Linked DNA regions of Elephas maximus indicus. The protein of the gene in region 2 interacts with the protein of the main gene of each other region in a pairwise test. Links are inferred from orthologs where the notes say so. Each region holds a gene or a part of one and is shown on either strand. Other genes may lie near its edges.

Evidence for each region.
Region 1: the proteins of CDK6 (region 2) and CDKN2B interact in binary tests that used the Homo sapiens proteins (3 or more experiments, as listed by UniProt). The link is inferred for Elephas maximus indicus from reciprocal best matches to the Homo sapiens genes CDK6 and CDKN2B.

What each region holds. Positions count from the first base shown.
Region 1 is NC_064827.1:31,877,956-31,892,983, forward strand, and holds the start of CDKN2B (cyclin-dependent kinase 4 inhibitor B), read right to left. Parts: upstream 6,568-15,028; 5' UTR 6,422-6,567; coding exon 6,266-6,421; intron 3,785-6,265; coding exon 3,524-3,784; 3' UTR 1-3,523. UniProt on the Homo sapiens protein: Interacts strongly with CDK4 and CDK6. Potent inhibitor. Potential effector of TGF-beta induced cell cycle arrest.
Region 2 is NC_064826.1:62,913,644-62,929,012, forward strand, and holds the start of CDK6 (cyclin-dependent kinase 6), read right to left. Parts: upstream 7,814-15,369; 5' UTR 7,700-7,813; intron 6,438-7,699; exon of another isoform or gene 6,225-6,437; intron 5,931-6,224; exon of another isoform or gene 5,083-5,930; intron 4,904-5,082; 5' UTR 4,551-4,903; coding exon 4,318-4,550; intron 1-4,317. UniProt on the Homo sapiens protein: Serine/threonine-protein kinase involved in the control of the cell cycle and differentiation; promotes G1/S transition. Phosphorylates pRB/RB1 and NPM1.

The DNA.
Region 1 (15,028 bases), on a different chromosome or scaffold from region 2:
TAGAAAGCGGGTGGTGGTGAAAAAATCTCTGTTGAATATTACATATTAACTTACATTGTTTTCTGGTATTTTGCCACAAAGGAAAGGCAGTATAGAATCTCAGCGTAAGTACAAGTGAAATTAGTTGTATTTGTTTGCTGAAAGTTAGTTACCTAGCTTCATAAGATGAATTATTTGTTTCTGGACACCATAGGACACCATGTTGTGTTTGCTTTAGTATGCAAATAAATCCTTTCTATGTACACACTTTCCCAAAGCTGTTTGGAGTTTTGTAAATCTTGAGTTTTCCTTTTGAATGTTTTATTCCTTATTATTATTATTATTTTTGAAACTGCTAATTTTAGCCATTACAGCACAGGACATTTTAAATGGATTTTGCTTTTAAAGTAAATCATAGTTTTTTTTTTTTTAATCTGTCCAGTCAGCTGAAAAAAGGAAAGGTAAAAATGAGGCCGAGTGAACAGAATATTGAATTCCTGAATTTACTTTCAGATCTTGGAATGAAGGTCAGGTGGTAGAATTTTTACAAACCTTGGTAATGTTTCAAACTTAGGTATAAAAATTAACATGCATATTCAATTTTCTGCAATTTCACAATGGAACCAAAAGCAGGGCTCATGTATATAGTAGGCATATATATTTTGCATGTGTCCTTTAAAATGAAATCCTTAAATTTACACCTCTTTGTGCTGTTGATAAAACATACCAGCCAAACCCATCTTCCAGGTGGCTTTGAAAACTGTATTAACTTTTACATGGCATTAATAAATCACTGTTTCAGGACCACCAGGTGGTAACTGATTTCCAATAATGTTTTGGTTTTGCTTTATTAAAAAAATCATAAAAATTATAATATGGTACTTTGGGATCCACAACCATACCTTATTCCCCTTAATTCCCTGTTGTCATTAGGAAAGATACCACAATTTCTTTAAATTAGGAATGAAATCACATGTTTCATATGTCTCAAGTGATTATCATTCTTCATTACCCAGTCTCACGCACATAGCATAATTGAACAACTGGAACTAAAGAAGTAGAGCACAAAATCATCAGGGATTTTATAAATTAAATGGACTTGAAATCGTCAGCTGACTAATTTTATGCAGAATGTTTCTTAGTAATTGTAAAACAATATAAACCTAAAAATTGCTGTTCTTGTAGCCGATAATTCAATGCTTAAGTGGTAACAGAAATTGTATTTTCTGCCCTTGTGTCTTAATTTAGAAATGGGGGTTTCATTATCTTTGTTCCAAATGCATTTTTTTTAGGTGTTTCTTTTGGGGGCTGTTTTTCATATTGTTGACAGTTTAAAATAAATTTGAAACAATACGCTTATATTTATGATACTGTACTAGATGTTATAGAAAGAAAAGAAAACCCTCAGGAATTTATAAGGGAGAACCATTTTTGTTTCTGCTCTTTAAAAATAAATTAGTTGAAAAAAAATTTTTTTTCAACTTCATATATATCATTAATAATTTTGGACAACAGGTTAATGCTGACGGGGGGAGGGGGATAACATATCTCTGGAGCCAGACACACTGACTTTGTGCAACCGTGGACTCTTGTGACTTCTTGGCCTCATTATCCTCATCTGGGAAACAATACGTATCTCTCACATTTGTTTTAAGTGTTAAGTAAACACATATAAAGTATCCGTGGCACAAGTTGTTTGTCAATGTTTATTTGTTTTCCCAATTAGATATGCTCAGATTCCTAACTAAGCTTCCCCAGTAATATATTACTTTTGGGGATAAAGAATTGATGGAGAAGTAAAGATGTGTATATTTAGCTCAGATACACAAATAAGTCTTATAAGTCTCTACTCTAAAATAATTTCTTTGGTCTGTTTCCTCTCTTTCCAATTTATATATGGTAAACTGGATACTTAAAAAAGCACAATGTATGTACCTATCATAATATATAATAACTCTCTATGGCTTATAGAAGCAGTTCTTATAAACTGTTGTTGGCATCACTTAACAATTATTACAGAGAATGAGAGAAGTGAACCCCTTTGAGTCTTCAACATTTCTCAGTAGTGGTAAATCCATGAACATTTTAACCCAAAATTTGAATCTGCATCTTGGAGTTCAATTTCTGTTGTTTAGTCTTCATTAAAGCCGTGAAATCTCTGTTGTTCCAATACATAATGAGTCAAACAATACAGGAAATTAAACCTCAAAGCAGTGCACCTTTAGTTGTTCAGCAGATATAAAGAAAAAATTCCAGAAGCCATCACGATATATTTCAGCAGTTTTATACTCAATTTCTTTCAGCAACCCTTTGGGAAATATCTCGAGATATTTTACTGGATAAGTGCCCTGATTTTCTGAAAGACATTTGGAATATTTAATAGTTTGGCCCTTGAGACACCTGGGTAGAGGAAACGGTCAGAGAATTTAACAGAAGAAATAGGTTAAAAGTGAAAGTAATGGAGGCGTTCGACCCTAAGTTTGCCACTGTGCCTTGCCTTTGCTTCTTTTAAGAGCTGTAGTTCTTTTTCACCGCGTTACTAAGGGCTACTTTGTTATTTCAGGTCTCCCCATTAAATAAAACTGTCACTGAAGAAAAACTCAGAAGTACAAAATATTAGGAAATCTTTCCAAGCGGCAATTTACAGGGGGATTTCCGTATGTAGATGAAGCAAACCGCTACAGTTACTCTCCTTAGCACCTCCCACTTGGTTCTGCGCACTGTGACTCCGGCGCCTCTGGAATGCCCTGGGAAGCGCTCCAGGACGGAATACGAGCAAGAGCCAGCACCTTTTGGAGCGTGGCTCTGCATCAAGGTGACCCAGGGATTTTAGAGTTTGCCGGCAAATCCGCCATCGCTTCCACGTCTTCTATTCCCCCTCCACTATTTCGTGGGGCTGGGTGCCAGTTTCCCGAGCTTCCAGAAGGCATCAAGCTTCCAGAAGGCATCGTTTCACCCTTGACTTACCGCACACCGCACAGCGAGTAAAGGGTTGGTTGCTCACTGCTGCCCACACGACTCTCATAGTTGTCTGGGCCTCAGTCTTTAGATTTTCCTTCGTAGCCCCAGGGCCTTTGGCGCGCAGCGGGGTTCAGACTGCGGTTCTTCGCTGTCTGTGGGACAAAACACCGACCACCCCACACCCAAAAGCCAGTCATCCGCCTCCCACTTCTCCCCAGCGTCATCTGTGTGCAGGTTCGCAGGCGCCAGGATGGTTTGCAGACTTCTTCGCACGCCAGTTTCCGCCAGGCAACTCCAAAAAGTGAACGACACCGGCGCACTCCACATCCCACCCCTAAATCTCTCTGGAAATCAACCCATGGGCCCCACCTTCCTGCATGTGGCTTCACGGTGAGAGCCTAAGGCCGGATCCAGCAAAAAGCACAAATGAATTTTATTCCGGGCTTGCTCCTCCTCCCTCAGCGGAGTCGGCGGCTCAGGAAGGCGTGCAGGATCTCCGCCGCTCCACGTTTGCAATGGTCATTGAACTAGGTGGGGTGGGAAATGGGGGAGAAAAGTCGTGGGCGGCTGGATGCGCCCGCCATCAGTCCCCCGCGGCCGCACGCAGGTACAGGGCGACGTCGCGGTGACCCCGCTCCTCAGCCAGGTCCACGGGCAGGCGGCCCCAGGCGTCGCGCACGTCCAGCCGCGCCCCGGCACGTTGCAGCACCATCAGCGTGTCCAGGAAGCCCTCCCGCGCGGCGTCGTGCACCGGTCGGGTGAGGGTGGCGGGGTCTGCGCAGTTGGGCTCAGCGCCGTGGAGCAGCAGCAGCTCCGCCACACGGGCGCTGCCCATCATCATGACCTGCGGGGAGAGCAGAGCGGTCAGGGCGACAGGAGGGTCACCGATTTGCAGGCTTGGGAGCGAGATCCCCGGCGGCGTGGATGAGGCTAGTTTAAAGAAATACATATTTATGAAGTAGTCACCCAATATAGAGGAGCTTTTTTTTTTTTTTTTACGAGCTTCAGGTGTCTGGATACTCTTAAATTGCAATTACCCCCTCTCCCGCCAGTCATACTCATTTCTTCGCTCAAATTGAATTCCGTGTTATCCAACCGTGCGGAGACAAGAGCGAGCCGATGACAAAGTGTTTATCGTTGTTGTGTGTGTGTGTGGGGGGGGGGAACAACTTGATTTCCACTGGAACAAGGAAATCTATTTTGTTATACAATTTAGGGATGGAGTTGTTTAACTGGCTTTTAAAGTCTAGTTATTTCCCTTGCTCTCCTCCTTTCCCATAATGCAGGGCTAAAAATATTTGTTAGGCAGTCAACTGATATTTTTCAGAAGCTGGGGTAATACTAGAAGTAAACTAAGTTTACAGAGGTTTACATTGTTTGGTTCTCGTTGCAAATCTGTGGAAGGCTTCTGCCTTATTTCATGTATGTCTGTGCTCATAAACGGATTATATAGTCCCATAATTGGGGCCAAAGCTGGAGTTCGAGAGGAAAAACTAAGTCATTTATAGTTTTACAAGACCATGAAAATAAATGATTTTTAATAGAGTTCAACATTTTTAATATTTAGTGTGTACCATATTTAATATAATATGTAAAGCAAACACTATACTGTACAATTTGGCTAGGATTTTATAATGTTAAATAGTAAATATTTTCTTGTATAAAAAGCTTGAATATTAGCAGTCAAATCAGAACAAAGCGTAACTTAGAAAAAATGCTTGGAGGAGTAATTCTGTAGCATCCATTTGTGCACACACATTCAAGAACTTTTAAGTGAACTATAAAAATGATTTTTGATAAATGTCCAAAATGAAGTTTTCTTTTTCCTTGTGGGTTTATAGGCTTTAAAATGTACCACGTGATTGAAAGACCAAACCAAGGTTTCCAAGGAGAGCCTGGCGAATTCAAACTACCAACCTTCTGGTTAGCAGCGGTAGCTCTTAACCGCTACCCGCCAGGGTTTCTGAGTGAAAGGCAGTATACCTCTAATTTTGTGTTTTATGAATATCAGGTGATGTAAAGGGGTTTTTATATATAAAGAGGAAAAATGATTTTTAATCTCAGAAGATGGTGAATTAAAACTAGAGAAAAACAAAACATGAAGTCTTTAAAGAGCACTTTGCAATATTTTTGTTCCCTGTATCCCTCATTTGTTATACCAATTTTCTAAGAATTGCTATGTATTCAAAAGGAATGAACACCTGTTTTCTTAAATGTGTACATTATTGACCAGGTTTCTTAATAGCTTGTTCTGGAAGGTAATGGTGAGGTGAGTACTGAATATTGAGCCACAGCAGTCAACAGTAAAGCGCAAAGGGATTAATTTAGATTTTAATGGAATTTAAAATAATTAAAGCTAAAAGAGCCCTGACCGCGCAGTCATTAAGCGCTCCGTGGCTACCTGAAAGAGCAGTTCGAACACACAGCCGCTCCTCTGGACGAAGATGCGGCAGCCTGCTCCAGTAAAGATCACGACCTTGGAACCCCTATGGGGCAATTCTCCTGCGTCCCATAGGGTCGCTATGAGTCAGAACCGACTCCACGGCAATGGATGGGCTAATTAAAGCGAAATTAATGGTTTAACATATTGAATAAATGTATTTTAATAATTAAGAGGCTAATTATTTATGAAGACCCTTTGCCATTGAAAAAGGACCCAACAGTTGCTGCAGAAATGCTTTTATAATCCAAGAATTCTGTATGATAACAAAAAATCTATGGGAACATTTTTTTCCCCTCTTATGTGACACTCAAAAGACGTTGCTAATATAAGAAATTAAGTACTGTGGTTGAGGAATCCTATCTCATTCCTTTGCGTTCAACTTGCCTCTATGAGGAAAGAGAAAAATGAAAGATTTCATATAGAGGCTTAAAAATTTACAGTGCATTTCCCCCCCCCAATGCTATCACTTTGGAGAAGAATTCCTTAAATCCAACCCAGATTGTGGAATTTGTAATTTATTTATCTTTATCGTTGAGAGTAGACAACAGATAAAACAGTCCTCCTCCCCAAATATCCCACTTCTCCCCCTCTCCTTCCCAGTTGAATGTATTCCATCTCTGATCACGAGAGGGCTCAGGAAATATTGTGGATGTTTTTTCCATCATTGAAAAGAAAACCAAACTGAAGCACTAAGTTTTTCAATTTCTTTCTTTAGGATTTTTGCTGTGTAAAAACCTGCTTTCCGGCGGGGCCCCACACCTCCAGGAAAAGGCTCCTGCACACGTCTACGTCGGTTACGGTCTCGGTCTCGGTCTCAGCCCCCGACCCACGGAGGCCGCGCTCGCGCGCCCCCTGCCGGCCAGGACCCGGGGCCCCAGGTACCTGGATCGGGCGCCTCCCGAAGCGATTGACTCGGTTGGGATCCGCGCCGGCTTCCAGGAGCTGCCGCACCGTCTCCACTTGCCCCCGCGCCGCGGCGCTGGCCAGGCCCCCATCGCCACTGCCACTGCCGAGCATGCCCTTGTCCTCCTCGCGCATTCCGACACCCCCAGACGCGCGAGGCCGGGGTAGTCCACCGCTGGCCGTGAACTTCGCGATCCTCCTCCCTACCTCCCTCCTCACCCCGCCCGGCGCCCTTTCCCTTCCCTGGGAGAGCTCAGTTAGCGTCAGTCCCCTACCGCTGTCCTCGTGCGGCTTGGGGGCGCGTATAATGGCCGAACGGCTGGGGGCTAGCTTTTGGCTTTTCCAAGCGCTCGAGAGGCAGCGAACACGCCCAGCCCGCTGCCGGGAAACGGCGCCTTGAGTGGCCGCCGCTGGACGCAAAGCGGCTCCGGCCGCAGTGCGTGCGTGCCGCAGCCTCCGCACCGCCGGGCCTCGCTCTCCGGAGTGGGAAGCCGCCCTGGAGTCAATTCAGTTCCCAGCTGGGCCGCGGGCCGGGCTCGCCCCACCCCCTTAGGCCCCGCCCCCTGTCGGGCTGGCCAGCAGGACCCGTCCCTCGGTGGACGCCCGGAGGCCAGCCTAACGTCACAGCCCACGGGATGGGAGTGGGGGTGGGGGTGGGGTGGGGGTGGGCGGCCCGCCCCAGTCGGCGTTGAGACGCATGCGCAGAGGCTGGCGGGGCAAGCCGCCCGGGAACGCCGGAAGCGCTGCTGGCTGAGTGTCCAGCAGATCCGGGACGCTAAGTTTCTGGAAATGCTGACCCACTGCATTTAGCTCCAAATCCCCAGCAGGCGGAGCAGAGGACTTCTATTCCTCTCAGCCCCGGACCAGCTGGTTTCACTCTGGAGACATTTCCTGATTAGATTTATGTTATCGGGCGGCAGAGAGAAATGCCTTTAAAATAACTCCGTCTCTTTTAAGATGTCTGAAAGTGACAGCTCTGCACCTGTCATGCAGGTTAAATTCATCCCCGGGCGGTACTTGACTTCACAATTTTCACATCTTGCATCTTAGCAGTTTTCTTTTGGGTGTGCCGTCCTATTAGAATCAGTCAACCAGAAATACTGAAAAATCTCGAGAATCTTGTTTTGCTGTGCTTTTCTCTTTTGTTTTAATCATGGATTTAAAACAAAACAAAAACCCAAACCCGTTACTGTGGAGTCGTTTCAGGCTCATGGCTACCTCATGTATTAGAGAGTGAAATTGCTCCATGGTTTACAAGAAGCAGATCGCCAGGCCTTCCTCCACCACCCCCAAACAAAACAACAACAAATAGACTGAGGGTAGCAACCTGGCACATGAAAGATATATGAAAAATGTTAAAAATAAGGAATCAGAGATCATATTTTCATTATATTTGTAAAGTACACCCTTGTTTGCACTCTTACCTGTTTAACCCACCTTGGTATTTGGTTTTTATTTATTATGAGTAATAAAGGAAATTTATGCAGTAATAATGAAACATAATAAAAACAAAGGTGTGGCGCTGGGCCTGTCATTAAACAGGCTGAACCTGTCATTATATCCCCTTCTGAAGATTTAAAGACCAAGTGCTTGTTTTTTTCTTCTTAATCTTCCTAGATGACTTTCAGTGAATATATTCATTGCTTTAAAGATTTTAAAAAACTGCAGCTGGTGCTACATTGAAATAGGAAAAGAAGCAGAAGTTATGTATCTGCTGCCTGAAAACTGGTGAGGAACTGCATAAGAGTGGGCTTCTCTTAAAGCCCGACACTTATTTCTAAAATCATTTTGACTCAGGGTGCTGAGGAAGACAAAGTCTTAAAGGGAGGCCAATTGCTTAGTCATGTATGAGAGACTTAACGTGTTTCTTCTGGTGTATCTTAGCTCTGACTCCCTCTCCCACTTATCCTCTGTAGAATGAGGAAGAGTGCTTTTCTTTAAAGGCAGTGGGGTCCATGGAAGTGGAGGCTGGGGCTGAAGAGTCACTGACTGAGCCTCCACAGGGCTGAAATCCACCTAGACAGGGTAGGGAAGAAAGCAGCTACTGTAACAAGTTTTCTCTCTCCACCCACCCCCATTTCTTAGTGTTTAGTTCCTGAATTCCTCAATCTTTCACTCTTATTTGACATTCTTTTTTTTTAAAAGCATTTAATAGACTTTTTTCTTCAGAAAAGTTTTAGGTTTATAGAAAAATTACACAGAAGGTACAGAGTTTTCATACACTCCCTCACCCCATTCCCAGTTTCCCCTGTTAACATCTCGCTTTGGTGTGGTGCATTTGTTACAATTGATGAACCAATATTGGTACACTATTATTAGTTTACATTAGGGTTTGCTCGTTATATTGATAAATGCATAATATCAGGTATCCACTGTTGCAGTATCATGTCAAATAGTTCCACCACTTGAAAAATACCCTGTGCTCCACCTATTCATCTCTCTTCCCCTCCTCCCAAGCCTCTGACAACTGCTGATCTTTTTACTGTCTTCATAGTTTTGCCTTTTCCAACATTTCATATAGTTGGAATCATACAGTATGTAGCCTTTTCAGACTGACTTCTTTCACTTAGCAATATGCATTTGGGGTTCCTCTATGCCTTTTCATGGCTTGATAGCTCATTTCTTTTAAATCACTGAATAATATTCTATTGCGTGGTTGTACCATGGTTTCTTTAGCCAACCATTAAAGGGCATCTCGGTTGCTTCCAATTTTTGGCAGTTATAAAGATGCAATAACATTCTTGTGCAAGTTTTTGTGTTGATGTAAGTTTTAAACTCATTTGGGTTTAAATTTGCAATTGCTTCATCATATGATAAGACTATGTTTAGCTTTGTAAGAAACTGCCAAACTGTCTTTGAAAGTGGCTATAACATTTTGCATTCCCACAAACTTCCTTCCATTTTTATCTGGAAAAATTCCTTTTATTTCCTAATGGTCACTCCATTCCTTTGTCTGGCCAGAGGAATAGAAGTCTGCTTCTGGATGAAAATCATGGTAGTCTTTGAACTCAGTTCTTACTCGGTGTTTTGGAGATTTCAAGTGTCTAGGCAGAATGGAAAAGGAAGAGGAAAGATGAGGGGCAGTGGAGATATAGAGTCGTTGAAATGGGTGGCATTAACTCATTGCCAGTTGCTGTGAGGGGATGAGTCACCAGACTGATGTTGGTGGATATGGTGGCAAATGGGCTCAGTCTGGAGCATCTTAATCAAAAGAGCATATTGACGATGAGATTTCGTGCACAGCCAAATACAACTAGGAAGGTCTTTAAAGGAGTGTTGTTGGGACCATCTTTCTATTGAATTCAGGAATTGAATTTAGTTCAGCAAAACTAAATTCAGCATGTCCCATATTTTAGGAGTGCACAGTTGACTATATTACAGGTCCTAGCTTTTAAGAAGCTCTCTCTGGTGGCATTCAAAGCTCATAAATGGTTTAAATTTAATACAACTTTTCTCAGAGATGTATCTACAGGGTACTTTAAGAGTAAGCAAGAGGGGAACTTAGCCTAAGTTGGAAGTGTAGGGAAAGTTTCTTAAAGGAGGAGTCAACTGAAAAGAGTATTAAAGAATGGGTCATAAATTAACGAGTTCCTGTGTCCTGGCTTTCAGCTTTCTATTTCCCTGACGCTTGAAAAGATTAGAAAATGATACCCTGAGCCAATTTACGAGCGATTGTCTTAAGTGGTAGGCATGGGCCATAGTGTCTGAAATACAGAAACTATTTGATTAGGAAACTGAAGCGATAGTTTTTCCTTTTTTGTGGTTGCTGCTGAAGAGGACATAGGTGAAAAGTGGTGAGTAAGACAGGAAGAAGCCAATAAGCAGAATAACTGAGAATCTTCTAAGAGGCAGGGATGTGCGCTTCGAAAAGCGACTTCAGTCGAAAGACCATTCCTTGGGCATGGGCGTGCGCGGTTACTAGCACCACGGACAGCGCTTCCCTATTTAAGCGTGTCTGGGGTCCTAACTTGCTCCCGACTGGAATTTTTAGAGGAAGCTTCCATCTTGATCTCCCTTGAAATTCAAAGGAAACCACGCGGAAGCTCAATGGACTTTTTTGCAAAATCAACTTGCTCGACCTGGTTTCCAAATATTATGAGAATATCTAATATTCTCTACGTTAAAAAAAAAAAAAGAAAAAAAACCCCTGTTACTTAAAGAACAACAAAAAAAAAGTTGCGGTGAATTAGATTCCAACTTATTGCTACTCTATAACGCGTTGCCGTCCAGTAGATTAGGACTCATAGCAACCCTGTAGGACAGCGTAGAACTGCCCCATAGAGTTTCCAATGAGCACCTGGTGGATTTGAACTGCTGACCTTTCGGTTAGCAGCCATAGCACTTAACCACTATGCCACCAGGGCTTCCAGCTATCCTAAATTCAGCAATCCCATATTTTAGGAGTGCACAGTTGAATATGTTACAGGTCCTAGCTTTTAAGAAGCTCTCTCTAGTGGCATTCAAATCTAATAAATGGTTTTAATTTAATATAACTTTGCTGAGTGATGTATCTACAGGGTACTTTAAGAGTAAGCAAGAGGGGAACTTAGCCTAAGTTGGAAGTGCAGGGAAAGTTTCTTAAAGGACAGAGTAAAACTGCCCCATGAGGTTTCCAAGGAGTGGCTGGTGGATTCCAACTGCCGACCTTTTGGTTAGCAGCCATAGATCTTAACCATTGTGCCACTGGAAAGAATATTAAATATTCTCTATATTTAAAAGGGAGCCCTGGTGACGCAGTGGTTAAGCGTTCAGCTGGTAACCAAAAGATCAGCAGATGGAATCCACCAGCCACTCTTGGAAACCCAATGGGGCTGTTCTACCCTGTCCTACAGGGTCGCTGTGAGTCGGAATTGACTCAACAGCAATGGGTATGGGTATATTTAAAAGAAAAAAATGGGAAATCACACTTATCTACTTGTCAGTTGTTTACTCCATTCCAAAACCATAAACAACAGAGCAAAAAACAATGGCGTTGCCATTGAGTTGGTTCCAACTCATAGCAACTCTGTTCCAAGTACTCTATAATTGTTATTTCATTTAACTTTTGTAAAATCCTTAAGAGGTATGTTTTAGCATCTCAATTTTACAGAGAGAGCAAAAAGATTAGAGAAGTTAAGTAACCTAGTGCACTGGCTAATCTTCGTTGGAGATAGGGTCTAACCTGTGGCTTCAGAGCCTCTACCCTTTAGGGTTTTTAGTAGCTGTCCTAGTAGGCTTAACTGGGGGAAAAAAAATAAACTGGCTTATAATTAATTATTTTTCAGTCTATACTGTGTTTTCCAGATGGCTTAATTCACAGCACACCTTTAATAGACTTCAAAGATGTCATTTGACACACAACACAATAGCACATTTGTCTTGGACGATAGAATGAGATAATGAAACCTTTTACCTCTCCATGATACCCAGCTGTCTAGGATGAAACACAACCTGTTGTTAATGCTTTAAACATGTTTAAGAGATCATGTGGATGAGAACATAGTGGGTAGCTGAAACTTGAAATTGTGACGGTCATGCTTTTTAATAGGGTGGATAATTTATAAGCAAGAAAAGAGGAAAAGTGAGTGAAAAGATAAATTGGCATAGAAATTTGCAGGTAAATGGAAGGGAATGAAAAGAATCTACTCTAATCTTGTATATAATGCAGATCACCAGTGAAAATGATGTTTCTTTCCTAGTTGGTGAAACTGTATATGAACTCACAATAAAAGCATGAATAAAATGAGCCGAGTGGCCAAGAGAGGTAGTGACATAACCATGTCCTCATTTATTTGCCTTTCTGTATATGATTGGGTCTAAGACAGTGTTTCTAAATGGGGAGAGAAGGAAAATCAGAATTATTTTGGGACTTCTTCAAACTGCATATGGCTCATCTTCCCACCAGGAAATTTGATTCTCTTCACTTCATCAGTTTAGGGTTATTGGTCCAAGATCCACAGTTATTACCCTTTCCATCTTCCCATAGGTGTTTCTTAAGTTTAATTGAATTTTGGGCATAATTCATCATTTTAGTGTCTCCAGTTTTTACACATATCACTTTTTCATTTCTGAAAATAAGAATGAAATAAAGTCAATACATTGAAATTGGTTGATACGTCTCTTATGCCTATTTTAATCTATACGTTCCTCTTTCTTTTTTTTTTCCTTGACATTTATTTGTTGACGAAACAGCATAGGTTGCCCTGTGTTTTCTGAAGTCTCGATTTTGCTGAATGCTTGTTCATGAGGATATTTAATGTATTTCTCTGTTGTCTGTATTTCTTGTAATTCATGATTTATATATAGAGCCTGGATGTGACTCAGGTTGGATATTTTTGCAGAAATACTTCATATATGGTATTGTGTACTTCATCAAGATGCACATAACTTGGTTATCTTTCTTTTTGTGATTTTAGCAGCCATTGATAATTATTTCTTAGATCCGTTATTTCCTTAAAGGTTGCTGAATGATAGTATATTAATTCTATCATTTTTTTTCATTTATCAGCTGAAGTATTTATTTCTATGAAGGAATGTTTTCTTCATTAACTACTTGGTTGCCCTCAGGTTCATAAACAAAAGACAGGATAAATATTTTGTATTTATTTACCAGTTTTCAAAGTAATGAGTTGCATCCATAGCATCCTTCAAAAATGACTGAGGATTTTAAATTATTATTATGAACTTATAAATTTAAACATTCTTGGAGTGTTTAACTCTGCTATAGTTATTATTCTCTATTGATGCTCATGCCCTATCTTTGACCAGTGGTAGCCTCTTCAATTTGGTCCCTGAGTCTTTTTGACATGATTGCAGTGGTCGTTGACAGAATCTTTGCTTTCTGGGATGATAATATATTCTAGTTTTATCTTCTATATTTCCTGTACAATGTTATTGTTGTGTGCACTCAAGTCAATTCCAACTCAAAGCAACCCTATAGGGCAGAATAGAACTGTCCCATAATGTTTCCAAGGCTGTAAATCTTTACGGAAGCAGACTGCCACATCTTTCTCCTTTGGAGCAACTGGTGGTTTTGAACTGCTGACCTTTTGGTCGGCAGCTGAGCACTTAACCACCACAACACGTGGTATTACTAATATCCCATAGGAGTGATGGTTCATTTTTGGTGGGAAATGGTATTTCGAGATCACAATCTGTGTGCTGGGGAATATATTGCTGCTGTGTTGATTATTATGTTTTCAGACTTGGCATTTCTCAATCTGAAAGAACCGAAATAAAAATTCAAGCCTTGAGTTGCAACATTGCAGCAACAGGTTTGGTTTTTGGTTTGGTATAGGGAAAAATTGAATGACACAGGAAGCATCAAAAGAAGATGGAAGGTATACGCATAGTCACTGTACCAAAAAGAACTGATCAACATTTAACTATTTTAGGAGGTAGCATATGATCAAGAACCATGGTACTGAAGGACAAAGTCCAAGCTGCACTGAAGGCATTGGTGAAAAACAAGGCTCCAGGAATTGACAGAATACTAATTGAGATGTTTCAACAAACAGATGCAATGCTGGAAGCACTCACTTGTCTATGCCAAGAAATTTGGAAGAGAGATACCTGGCCAACTGACTGGAAGAAATCCACATATAGGCCCATTTCAAAGAAAGGTGATCCACGGAATGTGGAAATTATTGAGCAATATCATTAATATCACATGCAAGTAAAATTTTGCTGAAGACAATTAAAAAATGGTTGCAGCAGTATATCGACAGGAAACTGTCAGAAATTCAGGCTAGCTTCAGAAGAGGACATGGAATGAGGGATATCATTACTGAAGTCCGATGGATCTTGGCTGAAAGCAGAGAATACCAGAAAGATGTTTACCTGTGTTTTGTTGACTGTGCAAAGGCATTTGACTGTGTGGATCACAACAAATTATGGGTAACATTTCGAAGAATGGGAATTCCAAAGAACTTAATTGTGCTCGTGCAGAACCTGAACATAGAGCAAGATGCAGTTGCTGGGACAGAACAGGCGGATACTGCATTGTTTAAATCAGGAAAGGTGTGCGTCAGGGTTGTATACTTTTACCATACTTATTCAATCTGTTGGAGCCCTGGTGGTACAGTGGTTAACAGCTTGCCTGCTAACCAAAAGGTCAGCAGTTTGAATCCACCAGCCACTCCTTGGAAACCCTACGGGGCGGTTCTACTCTGTCCTATTAGTCCCTGTGAGTTGGAACTGACTCAATGGCAGTGGGTTTATTCAATCTGTGCGCTGAGAAAATAATCTAAGCAGCTGGACTACATGAAGAATTGGAGGAGTACTCTAACAACCTGCGATATGTAAATGACACAACTTTGCTTGCTGAATGTGAAGAGGACTTGAAGCACTTACTGATGAAGATCAAAGACTACAGCCTTCAGTATGGATTACACCTTAACATAAAGAAAATAAAAATTCTCACAACTGGATCGATAAACAACATCATGATAAATGGAGAAAAAATTGAAGTTGTCAAGGATTTCATTTTAGTTGGATCAGCAATCAACAGCCATGGAAGTAGCAGTCAAAAAAATCAAAAGACATATTGCCTTGGGCAAGTCTGCTGCAAAAGACCTCTTTAAAGTACTAAAAAGCAAAAATGTCACTTTGAGGACGAAGGAATATTGACTATACCATAGACTGCCAAAAGAATGAACAAATCTATCTTGGAAAAAGTGCAGCCAGAATGTTCCTTAGAAATGAGGATGGCAAAACTTCATCTCACATACTTCAGACATGTTATCAGGAGGGAATGGTCCTTGG
Region 2 (15,369 bases):
GTCTGTCTTATGACACATGATACTTTCCATCATCTACCATCTTATTCCTTCAAACACAGGAGGAACTACTTTAAGAGTAGAGCTAGGTGTGATTTATCCCAGTATCTTTCCCAGCACCTAGGCCTGTTGTTTTTAGAGAGTTGTTGTCCTTAGATGCCATTGAGTTGATTTTGACTCATAGTGACCCTATCTGACAGAGAACTGCCCCATATGGATTTCTGGGCTGCAATTTTTGTGGGAGCACAACGCCAGGTCTTTCTCCCTCAGAACCAGTGGGCGAGTTAGAACTGCCAACTTTTCTGTTAGCAGCCGTGCACTTAACTGTTGCGCCACCAGGGCTCCTTATTTAAAGAATAGGTCCTTCCTAAATACTTGTTGAATAAATGGAGCTTAAATGTTCAGATATATTAGTTATATGTCAACGCCTTCTTATACAGAGCTATTTGTATGTTCCTAAGGACAGCAAGGAAACCCTGGGGGCGTATGCTTAAGAGCTACGGCGGCTAACCAAAAGGTCAGCAGTTTGAATCCACCAGGCGCTCCTTGGAAACCACATGGGGCTGTTATGCTCTATGCCTATGAGTTGGAATCGACTCGATGGCAACGGATTTAAGGACAGCAACTAACGAGGTGAAATTTAATCTCCGAAAAGCATTTGAATGTGATTAGTGTTTTGGTTATCTTGCCTACTAAATCAGCAAATTATCACAAATACTAGTTGCTCTATAAAACTGGTTAAGATTTAGAGCAAAAAAAAAAAAAAAGCCAATCAAATTAATAGGACATATATTTTTAAACAGAAAACAAAACAAAGCAAACAACAACAACAAAAAAAACTGCTATTACAAGCTGAGTTCCATCCACAAAGGGAAGAGACTTTTTCCGACTTGTTCACTGCTGAACCCTCAGCTTTTAGCAGTGTCTGGCAAAGTAGGCCCACAATAAATACTTGTTTAATAAACAGGCTACTGATAACACATGTTATTTAATCTATTTTGTTTTTAGTTTAGGATGTAAATAAAACAGGATTCATTTGAGGACTGAAGAGCCCCCCATATAGGTTCCTACTGAGGTCTGATTCTGGCAAAGGCTCCAGGCTTTGGGATTACCAACTGTAAAATAACAGTGAATTTACATCCCAGATACTGATCAAGCCCAGGCCTGGGATACATCAAGAGCAGGTAAGCAAGAACTTCAAGCCATCATCCCTGCGCCTGTAGGCAATGCCAGTGCCAGCAATAACAAGTAAGCTTTTCTGGCAAATCCATCAAAATTAAATCTTAAACTTTTGAAAAAAAAAAAAACTAGTATGTTTATTATGCTCCCTTCATACTTAGGGGCTTAACTATCTGTGGGGAGAGCCTATAATTATGATCATTTACTTATAACCTAAAAGTATTTATAAAGGCATCTGCCCTTTTGAGAACCTTTTTCAAAGAACAGGACTCTAAAACTGATCCTGTGGGGCAACAATAAATCACAGGTTTGGGGGCCCAATTTTGACAACTCTTGGAAAGAATTGCTGTCACCTGTCTTTAATTTCCTGACCCTGCTACAACAAATATCAGCAACGTCTAAAACCCAGAATTCCTAGTCTGGCCAAGCAAGTCACCGAGGCCAACGGCTGCTCCAAGACAGAGGTAAAAGAGAACAGGAAGGAAACAAAAAGGGAATGGACATCTGTGAGCTCATGAAAGTGACATCATCATTGATAATATCCTCGAGTGTCACTGAACTGCATGACATAGAACTAATAGTCTTTTCTAACTAAAGCTAATTACACTCACAGAGCCTCTTGGTTCTGGAGGCTTCAATGTCTGGGTTTGTCTGTGAGTTGTTCTGTGAAAAATTCAGGTGAACTGAAGCCTTACTGGAAAATTGCTCCAGGGCAAGGGTCTCACTAATCTGCCTGAATATAAAGTTTGAAGTAAGGCCGTCCCCAGGTTACAGGTTACATCCAATTTACCCAACTCATGGACAACAGACAGCTCATACTTGCTCTTTAACGTTATGTAAATTTGCCCTCACTTTGAAATGACTGAACCAACCCCTCTTCTTACAACAAATTCTTCATCACAATCACCTTTACTTGCTGCACGTCAGCTTTTAAATCACTGAAAAGGCTTCAAGCCTTTTCTTGCACTGAAGTTTAAGACTGCTTGTACTTTTAATTTACGAAGTGCTTTCATATACACTGTCTCACTTTATCTTCAGACAACTCTGAGGTAAGTGTCTTCGTCACCACGTAACATACAAAAATAACTCTAGAAAATGATGCCTTTGTCTTCAATTCACAAGCATATCTTCCTGAAATTTCACGGTGCTAAATACAAGTCAGGAGTCAACTAGGACAAATCTCAAAAACACACCAATCTCAAGTGGATAAATCTGTAAAAGAGATCATCCAAAATCTACCAGTACAATGGCAAAAACAACTCACCCTTCTTCTGTTACAAAAATACCTGTGCTTTGTAAACTATAGCATTATATCACTTTTAATTGAATACTCCATAGATTACAAAATAAGAACATTTTTCTTAAAATTCTAGTGGTGGAATTCATCCATTGGGAAGGGCTTAGGTAATTACTTTGGGAAGATAACTAGGTTGTGGGAGGAGGGGCTAAATGTGCCCTTCCCTTTTCTCTCCAATCTCACAAAGACCTCCAAGTAGGGTTTTTGCTGTTTTGCAGCAAAGAAAACACATGCCCCCGCCAAAGTAATCTTTTGCTTTATATATAATCTCATCTTCCTAAAATACCCATTCTCCCAATCCTATTATCTCTTGTCTCTCCTTCCTTCACTAGCTAAAGTGGAAGTACACTGGAGTGTATCTTTATAACCACATACTACCTTATCTATGTATTTATGACTCCTTGGGTGCCTTCTAGGCTGTGTCTAACTGTCCTGGGAACAAAGCACCACACAAATCACGCCGTTTGGATAGGAGGAGACAAGTTAAAACCTCCCAGGAAGACTCTGTACACACTTGTGCTCCCTGAGTCTGCAGAGGACTTCGTATTTCAAAGGTCAGTCTTGAGTCTCTCCACTTTGATGACTAATGTTAAACTGTTTGACTCTTTATAAAAATATTTAGCTGTGCTTATTTACATAATTTCATCCACAGTGCACACAGTAGGCACATATCTGTTGAACAAAATCCCCAGATGGATGAGAAAACAGGGAGAAGACCTCCCCCCAACCCCACAAGACCTTCTTTTTCCAACATAGTAGCTTAACAGTTGAGAAAGGTAAAATTACAACCCAATTTATAGAAGTTTTTGTGTATTCCTCTGCTACATAAAACTGTATGTCTTTGTATAAAACAAGGGGAAAAAAAAGGGATGACACACGACACAACGTCAACCACGCAATGGGGAAATTCCAGTATCACTAAGAAAACACCATTATCCTAAATCACACACACTTTCCTTTAATATCGGTTACCAAAGAGGAGAAGCTTTAAAGACTGCTTTCTCCCAACCAATCGCAGAACCAGTCCAGGAAAAGCAACGGCAAAAGGCAGAATCTAAGGATACCACATCTTGGACTCAAGTCTAACGCTCTGAAGAAATCTAAGGGCTATGGCAACCCAGAGATATAAAGTAATAGCACTGGGTAATGACAAGTAGGTAACATTTTCGGAAGAAAAGTTTTAAAGGACAGTGTTAGCAGCTGGGCATTAGCACTGATGCTCCTTGTACTATCACGAATCACTCTTATCGCACGCATCTTTTAATAAACAAAGTACAACACATGGGGTCGCCAAGAGTCAAAATTGACTCCACAGCAATTTTGCTTTAACTCTGGGGTGTAATTAGCAAAAAATTCCTCAGAGTTTCTACATTTTTTATACCTTATTTATACCAGACTAGTGAAGTTGTCTTCCCACTAATTACCACACCGCATACTGCTACCTCTCAGTCTCTCAAAAATTCCCCAGTGACGGGGGGGCGGGAACAATGAGGGGGGCGGGAGGGCGTGTGTGTTTCAGCTTGGTCTGTTCTGGCCCTAAGGGCCACTCAATTTCCCCGGACTCCCCCCTTCAGGGCAGACAGGGAGAAAACAAATAACTTGCACACCAGTAGGGAAGCCTGCGCAGGTCACGTTTTCTGACTGGTGTTTCTGCTCGCTGTCTGGCAAGGTCACCGACGCTGGCTCAGGGCTCTGTTGACAAAACTTACTCGCACTCTGTAAGATCCACGGGTCGCTCCGGGCCTGCCTAGCGACTACCCCCGCCCTCACCCTCTGGACCTGAGGACCCCCGACCCTGCCAGGGCGCGCGGCCCGGACAGCTCGGGCACCGCTCCCTCGCTCACCTGACCACGTTGGGGTGCTCGAAGGTCTCCAGGTGCCTCAGCACCGCCACCTCGCGGATGGTGGAGAGCGGCATGCCCTCTTCGCCAGTCTGCACCCGCACACGCTTCAGCGCCACGAAACGGCCTCCGTTCTTCAAGTCCCGGGCCTTGAACACCTTCCCATAGGCGCCCTCCCCGATCTCCGCCACGCACTCGTATTGCTGGTCCGCGCGACTCAGGCCGTCCTTCTCCATACCGTCCTAACACCGCCCGGCGCAGCGCCGCTGGAGCGGGCAGAGAGCGCGCTCGGCTCGCTTGCGGCCGCCGCTCGCCTCCTCCCGAGCTCCGGCGCTTGGTCTCGCTCTCCCTCGCCCCCGCCGGCTCCGGGGCTCTGGCTCTCGCGGCCGCCGGGGCTGGATGGAGCGACCTCCCCTCGGGCGGGCGCAGCCCTGGTACCGCCGCTGCGAAACCCCGCCTGCTGAGTCGCCGCCGCCGGAGGAGCGAGCCGATCCCTCCTCTTCCCTCTCCGAAGCGGAGTCCTCTGCTCAGACACCGAGGCGATTACATAGTCTCTGCCCGAGCGCTTCACTGGGCAAAATCGCTTCACCTAAAAGAGGAGGCGGTAGGACAAGAAGAAAATACAATCAGACATCCCAGTCGTCTTCCTCGGGGTTCCGGCAGTCTCCCCTCCTTCTTCAAGAAGCCCCCATCGCTACCCGCCGCGCTCTCCTGCCCTCTCCCAGGCCTCTCAATCCTTCCTGGTTCCTCCGAGAAAAGCGAAGTTACTTTTCTTTCCCTGTAGAGCTGGAGCGGTCTTCGCGCGGAGAGGTTGCAGGGGCCCCTCGGGGATGAGCGCGCCGCGCGGGGCGCAGTGGAACGGGAGGGGGCGTGCCGAGCAGCCCAGAGTGTGCCGGGAGCGCGGGGGAGGGGAGGCGCCGGGCACGCCAATGTCACGGCTTAATACTTATCCCTTTATCATTCTGTTGCACTACTACCATCCCCACTCCGCCGGGGCCTGGACGTGCAGGGACAAGGGGGTATGGGGGTGCAGGGGTCCCGGGGGGCGTTCAGGGGTCGTGCACAAGCCAGTGTGGCGAGACTGGGGGTCCACCCGTGTGGGGCCGCAGAATGTTGGAGGGGGCTCCCAAGACCCTGTAACCCGATGCTAGGAGTGTGCGAGAAGGGGTGGTCAGACATCTGCTCGGAAATTGCTTCCTTTCTTTCTGCTTTCAGTTTTTCTACGAGGAGACATTTAAAAACGACTCGCACACACAAATAGTCTTTTGGGGTAAAGGAGTCTCGGTTGGAAAACGAAATTCTTCCTTCGCCTCAGAGGACCTCCCTGGTGTAGACCCAGGGAGGACAATCCATCTGGTCCAGGACGACTTGGGCTTCCGCTATTCAAGGGGTGGGCGAACGAGGGGCCCTAGTGAAGGCAGTCACCCACGGGACCCCAAGGGTGTGAGACACTTTCGCCTCCTTAAAAAATAACTTCAGGAAAAATGTAGCATGACTGTGACTCACCCTGAAGTTCTCATCTGATTTCAACCTGAGCAAAATCCAACCTCCCAAAAGGGAAGAAGAAGAGTATATATATGTTGCGCCTCCCGGGGTGAGAGAGAAAGGGATGCGCCCTAGGGATCGAGACACGCAGACTTTTTCCCACTCCAAGGACTGTCCCCGATGTAGGCAATGGAGGCAGCTGCGCCAGTCCCCTTCGGGTTGAGGCCCGGTCCTGTCTGCGGCCAGACGTCCCCCGGAGCCCTCGGCACAACAAAGCGCCGGGCGGGGGGATCCCCCAATTTCCCTCCCCATTCAGCTGCATTTCAGGGCCGAGGGGACCTCCCGCCCCACCGCCGCCGCAGCCTCAGTCGGACATTCGCTACGCCAGCCGCGTGTCTGGAATTCCCAGGACACCTCGGAATTACCTTCCCGCAACCGCTGGCCCGCTCGCCTTCCGCCAGGAACTAAACAAACGGCGCAACCCCACGATGTGCGGATGGATGGGACCGCGACGAGGACAGAGCCCCTCACACTCCGGCCATCCAGAGCTCTTCTTAAAAGGTGAAGACGATTCCTGGGGAGCCGAGGAACAAGCCCCCAGAGCCTGGCTGGGGGTCTGGGCGAAGGCGAGGGCCACACAGGTAGCGGGGGAGCCGCCGCTGGCCTCCCAGTCCGCCCTCCCGCGTCCCTCCTCCCCCGAGTCCAGCGTGGGGCTCAGCGGCGAAGGAAGCGTCGAGGGACGTCCCACCCCCGCAGGGAACTGCGCCCGCCGCCCCGCCTGGCCCCGCACCGCCCGCAGCCCTCGCCTTGGCTCTCCCCCCCTCGCTCCCCGGACGGCTGGCTCCGGCGGAGAGAAACAGGAGCAGCAGTGCCTTCCCCCCCTCCACTTTTTTTTTTTTTTTTTTGCTGTTGTTGCTTTCCCACGCTGGCTGAATGTGACTTGACCCCATTTCAAAAAAGTTTGACATAGTGCTTCAACATTTCCGCATTCCTCTGCGACTACAAAGGCTGCAGCCGCCTCCTTCTGCTTTCTGTCTCTGCTCTCTGTCTTCACACTCAATGAAATCCTTCATGTGCCTCTCCCGAAGCCTGCCAAGCACTGCAAGGGTCGCCACCAGCGCAGCGACAAGAGGCCGCACCGGGGACCGCGAATGCGGCTTGTGCGCACACGCAGATGCGCCCACGTGCACACAGACGGGCGCGCTGCGGGACCTAGGAGCTTCTAACTGCGGGGCGTGCGTTTTAGCTGCGGTTTTTTTAAATGATAAAAGTAAACGTGGACACTAAAGCAAAACGGTGACCTCGCAAGGGCTCCAAGCCTGGGCACTGGCCGACTGCGTGCACTCTAGTTGTGCATAACACGTCCGCAGGGGTTGTCAGCAGGAAGCCTTCGTTAACATAGATCTCGTGGTGGGGAAGGTGGAGCCCACACCCACACCTCAGCGAGCTGGAGGCACTTTCGTGGAGAAATAAAATGGGGCAGGGAAACACATTCTCCCGCATGGAGTCCCCAGAGGCAGTGCATTTGAAACACTAAATATGGATTATACGAGTGTCCGAGTGCAGTTCCGTTTTGAGAAGCTGGATAAGGAGTGTGTGTACATGTGGGTGTTTGTGCAGACGGATAAGTGGAGACGGGATCTCGCTGTTAGGGGGTGTCCCTCGGGTGGGATGTTCACGTCACGCCAGATTGGGAGGGACTCCTGTAGCTGCCCAAAACTGGCCCCCGTAACCTACCCCGCCTTGGTTCGGAAGGAGTTAACCAAAGCCAAGTCGGCGGACACACAGCCCCCCCACTCTTACCCCTACCCCCACCCCGCCTTCGACCCTGTACAAGCCTCCAAATCTCCTCGGGACTCCCCACCAAGAAACCCACCCACCCGAGCGCACAGCTCCTCACCTGAGGGACCTAGCCGCGTCCGGCCACCCGAAGGGGCTTCGAGTGCCTGTCAGACCTCGGCACTTACCCAGGGCCGTGCAGAGCAGGTAATGCGGCGCAGAGGAAGGAGTTACCAGTACTTTCTCCGGCTAGGGGGTGGGCACAGCGGCGGAGGGCGGAGGGACGGCGGAGGGCGCCGCCTGCTTCGCTCGCCGGGGGTGGACGGGGGCCGTGGGGCTCTGGCCGGGGATCGCGGCCCGAACCCGGGAGGCAGCGGGGGCGGCCGCGGGGCGGGGGCGGGGACGGAGACCCGGTAGGCCACCCCTGCCGAGGACCCACCCGGCGGCGGGGCCGGGGTCTCGCGGCACAGTGGCAAGCAAGTGTGCAAATTAAAGCCTTCCGGAGGGAGGGGAGGCGGCGGAGAACCGGCCGTACTAGGAGCCTCCCCGCTCCCCAGCCCTCAGCTCGGAGTGGGGGTCAATAAGGGGGAGTTTAAATGAAAATTTCTGGCTTTCACTGAAACTGTAGTGGGGGATCTCGCGACCTAAATGCGAGGCGTGAGAAGGAAAGAGTGTCGTCGGGAGTCGCCGGAGATTGCAAACCCAGGGCGGTGCAGAGTTAGGGTTTTGACAGGGTGAGGCGGGGGTATCTTCAGTCAGTGATGTGGACGGATGGGAAAAACACAAAACAAACAACAGTAATTATGAGGGACTGGAGGGAGTGGTAAATATCAACACTTTCCAAGAAACTAAAAAATCAGACCAAAAAATAACTCTTCTCTATTAAAAAAAAAAATTTTGGCAGGACGCCTTGCAGAAAAGAAAATACTAATCTGTCCAAGCACTTTTCACTTTCAGCCTGAGCCACATTTGTTTTGTTTTCCTTCGCTTCCTTTCGGCCTCACAAAGCCTTATCTTTTCCTTTTGGACAGAGGATATGGTTTGGAAATTGTCAGGCACTCTTGTGGTTAACGATCTACTTGAAAGGGCTGGCTAGTTCACAATTATTAAGTGGTTAGCAACTGCTGAGGGTTCAATAAGATATTTCTCGGGAGCTAAAAATACTAAAATTTAGTGCAAATAACAGAATTGCAAGATAATGGGCACCCCCCCCCCCCCCACACACACACAAAGAGGAGAGAACGTGATTCGGTGGGTTCTCAGTTTAAATGCATTATTGGAATTCTGAAATTTGAAACCTTGTGAGAAACGAAGAATGTGTACTTTACCTGCTGAGAAAACCTGAATACAATTATTTCAGGTGAAAATGAGATTGGGGTTGGAAGGTCTGCAAGACTTCTACAGGGGAATAAAAGAAAACTTACACTAGCTTAAAATTTACAACTTAAAATAGCTGTCTTTTGGGAAAGAATTCAGTGCTCTCCAAAATTCCGTATCTGTACAATACTTGAAACTTTTTTAAACATCTTAAAGCAAAGCTTAAAAAAAAAAAGCTATTTCAGTGTTTTGTGAAAAAAAATTAAATCCTGCAAAACTCTGTTTGAATTAGAAATGCTACCTCTAAATATCTTTTGGCTTTTGAATTAAACTATGCTGCTAATTTCTAATTTCACAGAAGATCAAATTTTTGCCTTCATAAAATTGATGCTATACTACAATATGAAGTAATAAAAAAATGAAGTAATAGGTTAGGTAAATGAAAGTTGTTGTGTTTCCACTAGCAAATATTTTGCAATACATTATAATTTTTTTAAATAATGAAAATCAATGGTTGTGTTTCTTTAAGCCTAAGATACTTCTTAAAATACATTTTGTGTTCAGGAACATATCCTCCAAAATAAAATCCAATTTCTAAACAAAATTTGTATTCATAAAGATGTTTGTAATCACATACACCTTCTACATTTAAGAAAGCAAATTTGATTTTGTATTTATATAAAATATTCAATCACTCTTAATCACTAATTAGAATTTAAACCAGAGACACAAATAGAATCCATTTTGATAATTGCCCACACTTTTCAACACTTTTTAAAACAAGATTTACTTGCTGATAACTCAGATGTTTATATAACCCAGAAATAATTGTCAATAAATAATCATACAAAGCAGCACATGATGGCAAGAACTTATTTGAGTAAATAATTTGTTTTTTAAAAAGTCCTAAGCTGTAAATATATTTAAAATTAACAGAAAAGAGTCTTTTCTACAGAGTGTTGCATTTTCAATTACTGAATTTGTCAAAAATCATAGCTGGATTGGAAATTTCTTGATTTAGGCAACTAGAATTTCAGTGCTTTGTGAAACAATTTAAATCCTGCAAAATTCTATTTGAATTGGAAATCTCCTAAATATCTTTTGACCTTTGAGTTAAACTATGCTGCTAATTTCACAGAAAATCAGATTTTTGCCTTCATAAAATTGATTCTATATTATAATATCAAGTAACAGGTTAGGTAAATAAAAATGGTTATATTTTAGGTAAATAAAAATTGATGTATTCACTACACTTGGGCAATGTAAAAAACAATCAAATTTGATTTGACTATACATGTTAATACCTAGTGTTGATTGTCTTTGTATCATCTGCTTTTTCTGATATTGCTTATCTTTTATGTTAGTTTATCATTGTTCATTCTCTCTAGTTATGGTTCACGTTAAATTCCAGTTGGTTAAAGCTTCAGACTCAAGGAGGTTTTACAATGGATTGTATAAAATTAGTACACAACAAGATCGTTTTTGTTTATGGGTGGCTTCCTCTGTGGGTAACAGGTTATCTTAACAAAATTTGTGCAAGGTTTACAAACTGCGAACCAAATTCCTACTCTCTTCTTTAGGAATCTTCTATGAATGAATACATAGCATTCAAGAATAATTGCTTGCAGCGATGTTTTCACTCTACATATCAGATTTTCTAAAGCTGCAAATCATTTTAAGGATTTTTAAAAAATTAGAATTCATGGATGTATCTCCAAATATGGTACTGTAATTTACACTGAAAAGTTTCTTAGTGTCACATAAGGGATGTATTCCATGTGTGAACACTTTTAAATCAAGCACCTTTAAATTCTTGTTTTTACTGAAATAAAAATAAATTTTAAAACTCTGTTCTATAATTGATAATATTGCTTAAGAAATTACTAATTTACTTAGATTAGTAATTACATTCCAAAAACCAAACCGACTGCTGTCAAGTCCAACTCCTAGCGACCCTGTAGGACAGAGTAGAACTGCCCCATAGGGTTTCCAAAGAGCAGCTGGTAGATTCGAACTGCCGACCTTTTGGTTAGCAGCCATAGCTCTTAACCCCTGCTCCACCAGGGCTCTAGTTATTGTATTAGGGTACATCTAATTCTAAATATTTTCTGATTTATATTGGCTGTTTAATTTTTTTTTTTTTAATTCCAGAAACTTGGAACTTAGGTACTGTATCATATACTACATAGTAATTTTAAATGAAGGTCTGTGTAAAATAAATGTATACATTTTTGTCTATAAAGGTCTCCTGTTTATTGTTTTGATAACGTTCCTGAAGGGTCTGGGCCATTAGTAGTCATGTTGTAATTGGGTTACTATAGTTTTCCATTAACTTTAATCACAGGGTATGGTATTACTAAGAGACCCCCTAAGGAATTTCCTGTGTGCCAGACATACTCTTTTTACCTCCATTATGTAGTATCAATCCAATTTCCCCTTGATAATCAGAATCAGCCACACCAGCCAACATGGTAGCTCCCTTCTTTGCCTGTCGATCCAGAGGCATAAGGAGCCCTAAGTGGCCAAGTGGCGTTCTTAACTTCCAGTTCAATGGAATCGGTGTTGTGTCTCCAGGTGGAAGCATTCTTCCCTTTGAAATTAAGAATTCTAGACCAGCAGAGTATAGGGTCGCAGGGAGAGGAAGCGAAAGTATTGCAAGTGAGTCACTAGGGATAATAGTGAACGGTGCCACTCCGTTTCCACCTCTTGATTCTTGGACCCGTGAATCCTGGCTATGGGAGAAATAGCACCATATAGTGGATGCTGGTTTAGAGCAGATACACCCTCCTGGAGATCATTGCCCCAACCCTGCAAGGTATTGCCACCTAGTTGGCACAGTAATTGTGTCTTTAGAAGGCCATTCCATCACTCTATCCAGCCAGCTGCTTCAGATTGATGGGAAAGATGGTAAGACCAGTGAATTCCATGACCATGGGCCCATTGCCATACTTCATTTTCTGTGAAATGAGTCCCTTGGTCTGAGGCAATGCTGTGTGGGATACCATGACGGTGGATAAAGCATTCTGTAAGTCCACGGATGGTAGTTTTGGCAGAAGCATGGGATACAGGGAAGGCAAATCTGTATCCAGAGTGTCTATACCAGTAAGAACAAAATGCTGCCCTTTCCATGATGGAAGTGATCCAATGTAATCAACCTGGCACCAGGTTGCTGGCCGATTGCCCCGAGGAATGGTGCCATATCAGGGACTCAGCGTTGGTCTCTGCTGCTGGCAGAATGGGCAAGAACTAAGCAGTGGCTGTAGCCAAGTTAGCCTTGGTGAGTGGAAGTTCATGTTGCTGAGCCCATGCATAACCTCCATCCCTGCCACCATGGTCACTTTGTTTATGAGCCATGACAGGAGTGGCTGGGGAAAGAAGATGACTGGTTTCCATAGAACAGGTCATCCTATTCACTTGATTGTTAAAATTCTCCTCTGCTGAGGTCATCCTTTGGTGAGCATTCACATGTGACCCAAATATCTTCACTTCTTTGGCCCATTCAGAGAAATCTATCCACATGCCTCTTCCCTATACCTCCTTGTCACCAATTTTCCAATCGTGTTCCTTCCAAGTCTCTGACCATCTAGCCAAACCATTGGGCACGGCTCATAGAATCGCACACTCGACCATTTCTCCTTCCAAGCAAAGCGAACAATCGGGTGCAATGCCTGATGTTCTTCTGCCCGTTGGGAGAATTTTCCTTCACCACTGTCCTTCAAGGAACTCCCAGAAAGGGGCTGCAGTGCTGCTGCTGTCCATTTTCCAGTGGTGCCTGCATATCGTGCAGAAGTATCTATAAACCAGGCACAAACTTTCTCTTCCTCAGTCCACTGATCATAAGGAACTCCCCAGGAGACCATAGGTGCAGACTGGGAGAAGGAAGGTAATGTGAAGAAAGTGGAGACCGTGGGCATTTGGGCCACTTCCTCATGCAATTTACTTGAGTATTCATTCAGGTTCTGCTCAAGCCCTATCTTGTATATACCACTTCCATCTAATGATGGAGTGCTGTCGTGCATGTCTGACCTTGTGACTCTGTGGGTCAGACAACACCCAGTTCATGAGGGGCAGCTCAGGCCACATGGTGACTTGGTGGTCCATAGTTAGGCATTGAGTCTCTACTAAGGCCCAGTAATAAGCCAATAGCTGTTTCTCAAAAGGAAAGTAGCTATCTGCAGAGGGTGGCAGGGCTTCGCTCCAAAATGCTACGGTTGTGCGCTGTGATTCACCAGTAGGGGCCTGCCAAAGACTCGGAATTGCATATCTATCAGCCACTGACACTTCAAGCACAATTGGATCAGCTAGATCATATGGGCCAAGTGGCAAAGTGGCTTGCCCAGAAACCTGAACCTGTTGCAGAGTCTTGTTCGGTACCCTACTCAAAGGTAGCAGCTTTTTGTGATAAACGGAACAGAATAACACACCCAAATGAGGGATGTGTTGCCTCCAAAATCCAAGAGGCCCACCAGGCATTGTGCCTCCTTTTTTAGTTGTAGAAGGGGCCAGATGCAACAACTTGTTGTTCACTTTGAAGAAATATCTCAACATACCCCACACCCCTGGACCTCTAGAAATTTCACTAAGTTGGAAGGTGCCTGAATTTTTGTCAGGTTAATTTCCCACCTTCTAGCATGCAAATGTCTTACCAATATGTCTAGAGTCATTGATACTGCCTCCTTACTAGGTCCAATCAGCATAACCTTTCAATGTAATGGACCAGTGTGACATCTTGTTGAAGGCCAAGATGATCAAGTTCCCAGTGGGTTAAACTATGACATAGGACTGGAGAGTTGATATACCACTGAGGTAGGACAGTGAAGGTGTATTGCTGGCCTTGCCAGCTGAAGGCAAACTGCTTCTGGTAGTCCTTCAAAACAGGTATGGAGAAAAATACATTAGCCAGATCAATAACTGCATACTAAGTACCAGGAAATGTATTAATTTGCTCAAGCAATGAAACCATACCTGGAATAGCAGCTGCAATTGGAATCACCAAGCGGTTAAGTTTATGATAATCCACTGTCATTCTCCAAGATTGATCTGTTTCTTGCACAGGTCAAATAAGAGAGTTGAATGGGGATGTGGTGGGAATCACCACCCCTGCATCCTTCAAGTCCTTGATGATGGCTGTAATTTCTGAAATCCCTCCAGGAATACAGTATTCCTTTTAGTTTACTATTTTCCTGTATAGGGGGCAGTTCTAATGACTTCCACTTAGTTTTTCCCACCCTTACTCCACATGTCAGGAATTCAACGTGTGGGTTCTGCTAGTTGCTGAGTATGTCCATTCCAGTTATGCATTCTGGAACTGGTGAAATCACTACAGGATGGGTTTGGGGACCCACTAGACCCACTCTGAAATGGACCTGAGTTAAGACTCCATTAATAACCTGTCCTCCATATGTCCCTACTCTGACTGGTGGGCCATAATGATGTTTTATGGAATTAGTGTCAGTTCAGAGCCAGTACCCAGTAATCTCTGAAAAGTCCAATTATTTCCTTTTTCCAGGTAAATAGTCACTCTCATGAAAGGTCATGAATCCCTTTGGGGAAAGCTGAGAGAAATATTAACAGTACAAATTTTTGACATGTAGTAGGGTCCTTCCTCAATGAAACCCTCCTCGCCTTCATTCAAGGGGTTGTGGGTCTTTAAACTCACTCATGTCTGGAAATTGATTGCGGGACTATGACTCTCTATTCTGGCAATTCAAGTTTGACTGCCATTCACATGACCTAGGATTCTTCTGCTTACACAGATCAAGTAAATAGTAGATTCCCCATCTATATAACTCTTAGCGACACCATGACTAAGTAGCCAAAGCTGTAAGTCCATGCGAGTCAGAGTATTCTTGAGTACTGCCGTCCATTATGGTAACCATGCCCACCTTGTCTTTGTCAATTGAGTGCTGCCACTTGGCTCCTACCACCCCAGGATCCAATCAGTGCCATTGTAGTCAGGTGTCTTAATTCACTTAAGGAAGTTCCCACTGTCAAATCTAATGGTTTTACTGTAGAGGGTGGCTTAGCATACAAAGATGGAGCGATCTCTTCAGATGGGAATAAAAGGACTGGTTCTGTTGGCAGGAGTGATTCAATGGAATTTAGGTACTCAATGTCCCCAGCTTCTTGATTATCTGCCCATATGTCCCCATCCCAAGTTTCAGGATCCCATTTCTTCCTAATCAATGCCCTCACTTTAATTTCAGACACATTTGAGTTTGGGAATTCAGTTGGCATTATAATTCAGCCACACTTATGATAGGACTCTGGGTTTGACTTTTGGGAATATCAGCTCTGTTACTGCAAGAATAAGGCTTCCTTTCAGGTCACAAGTGGCAACTTTCAGGTCTTGTATGCAGTACTTGAGCTGTGACTCTGAAGATTTGAGCTTATCCTTTTCTTTCATCACTTTGTCTAGCAAAAGTAAGACCAACCAACCAGCTTCTTTATGCTCTTCCTAACAAAATTATAGAA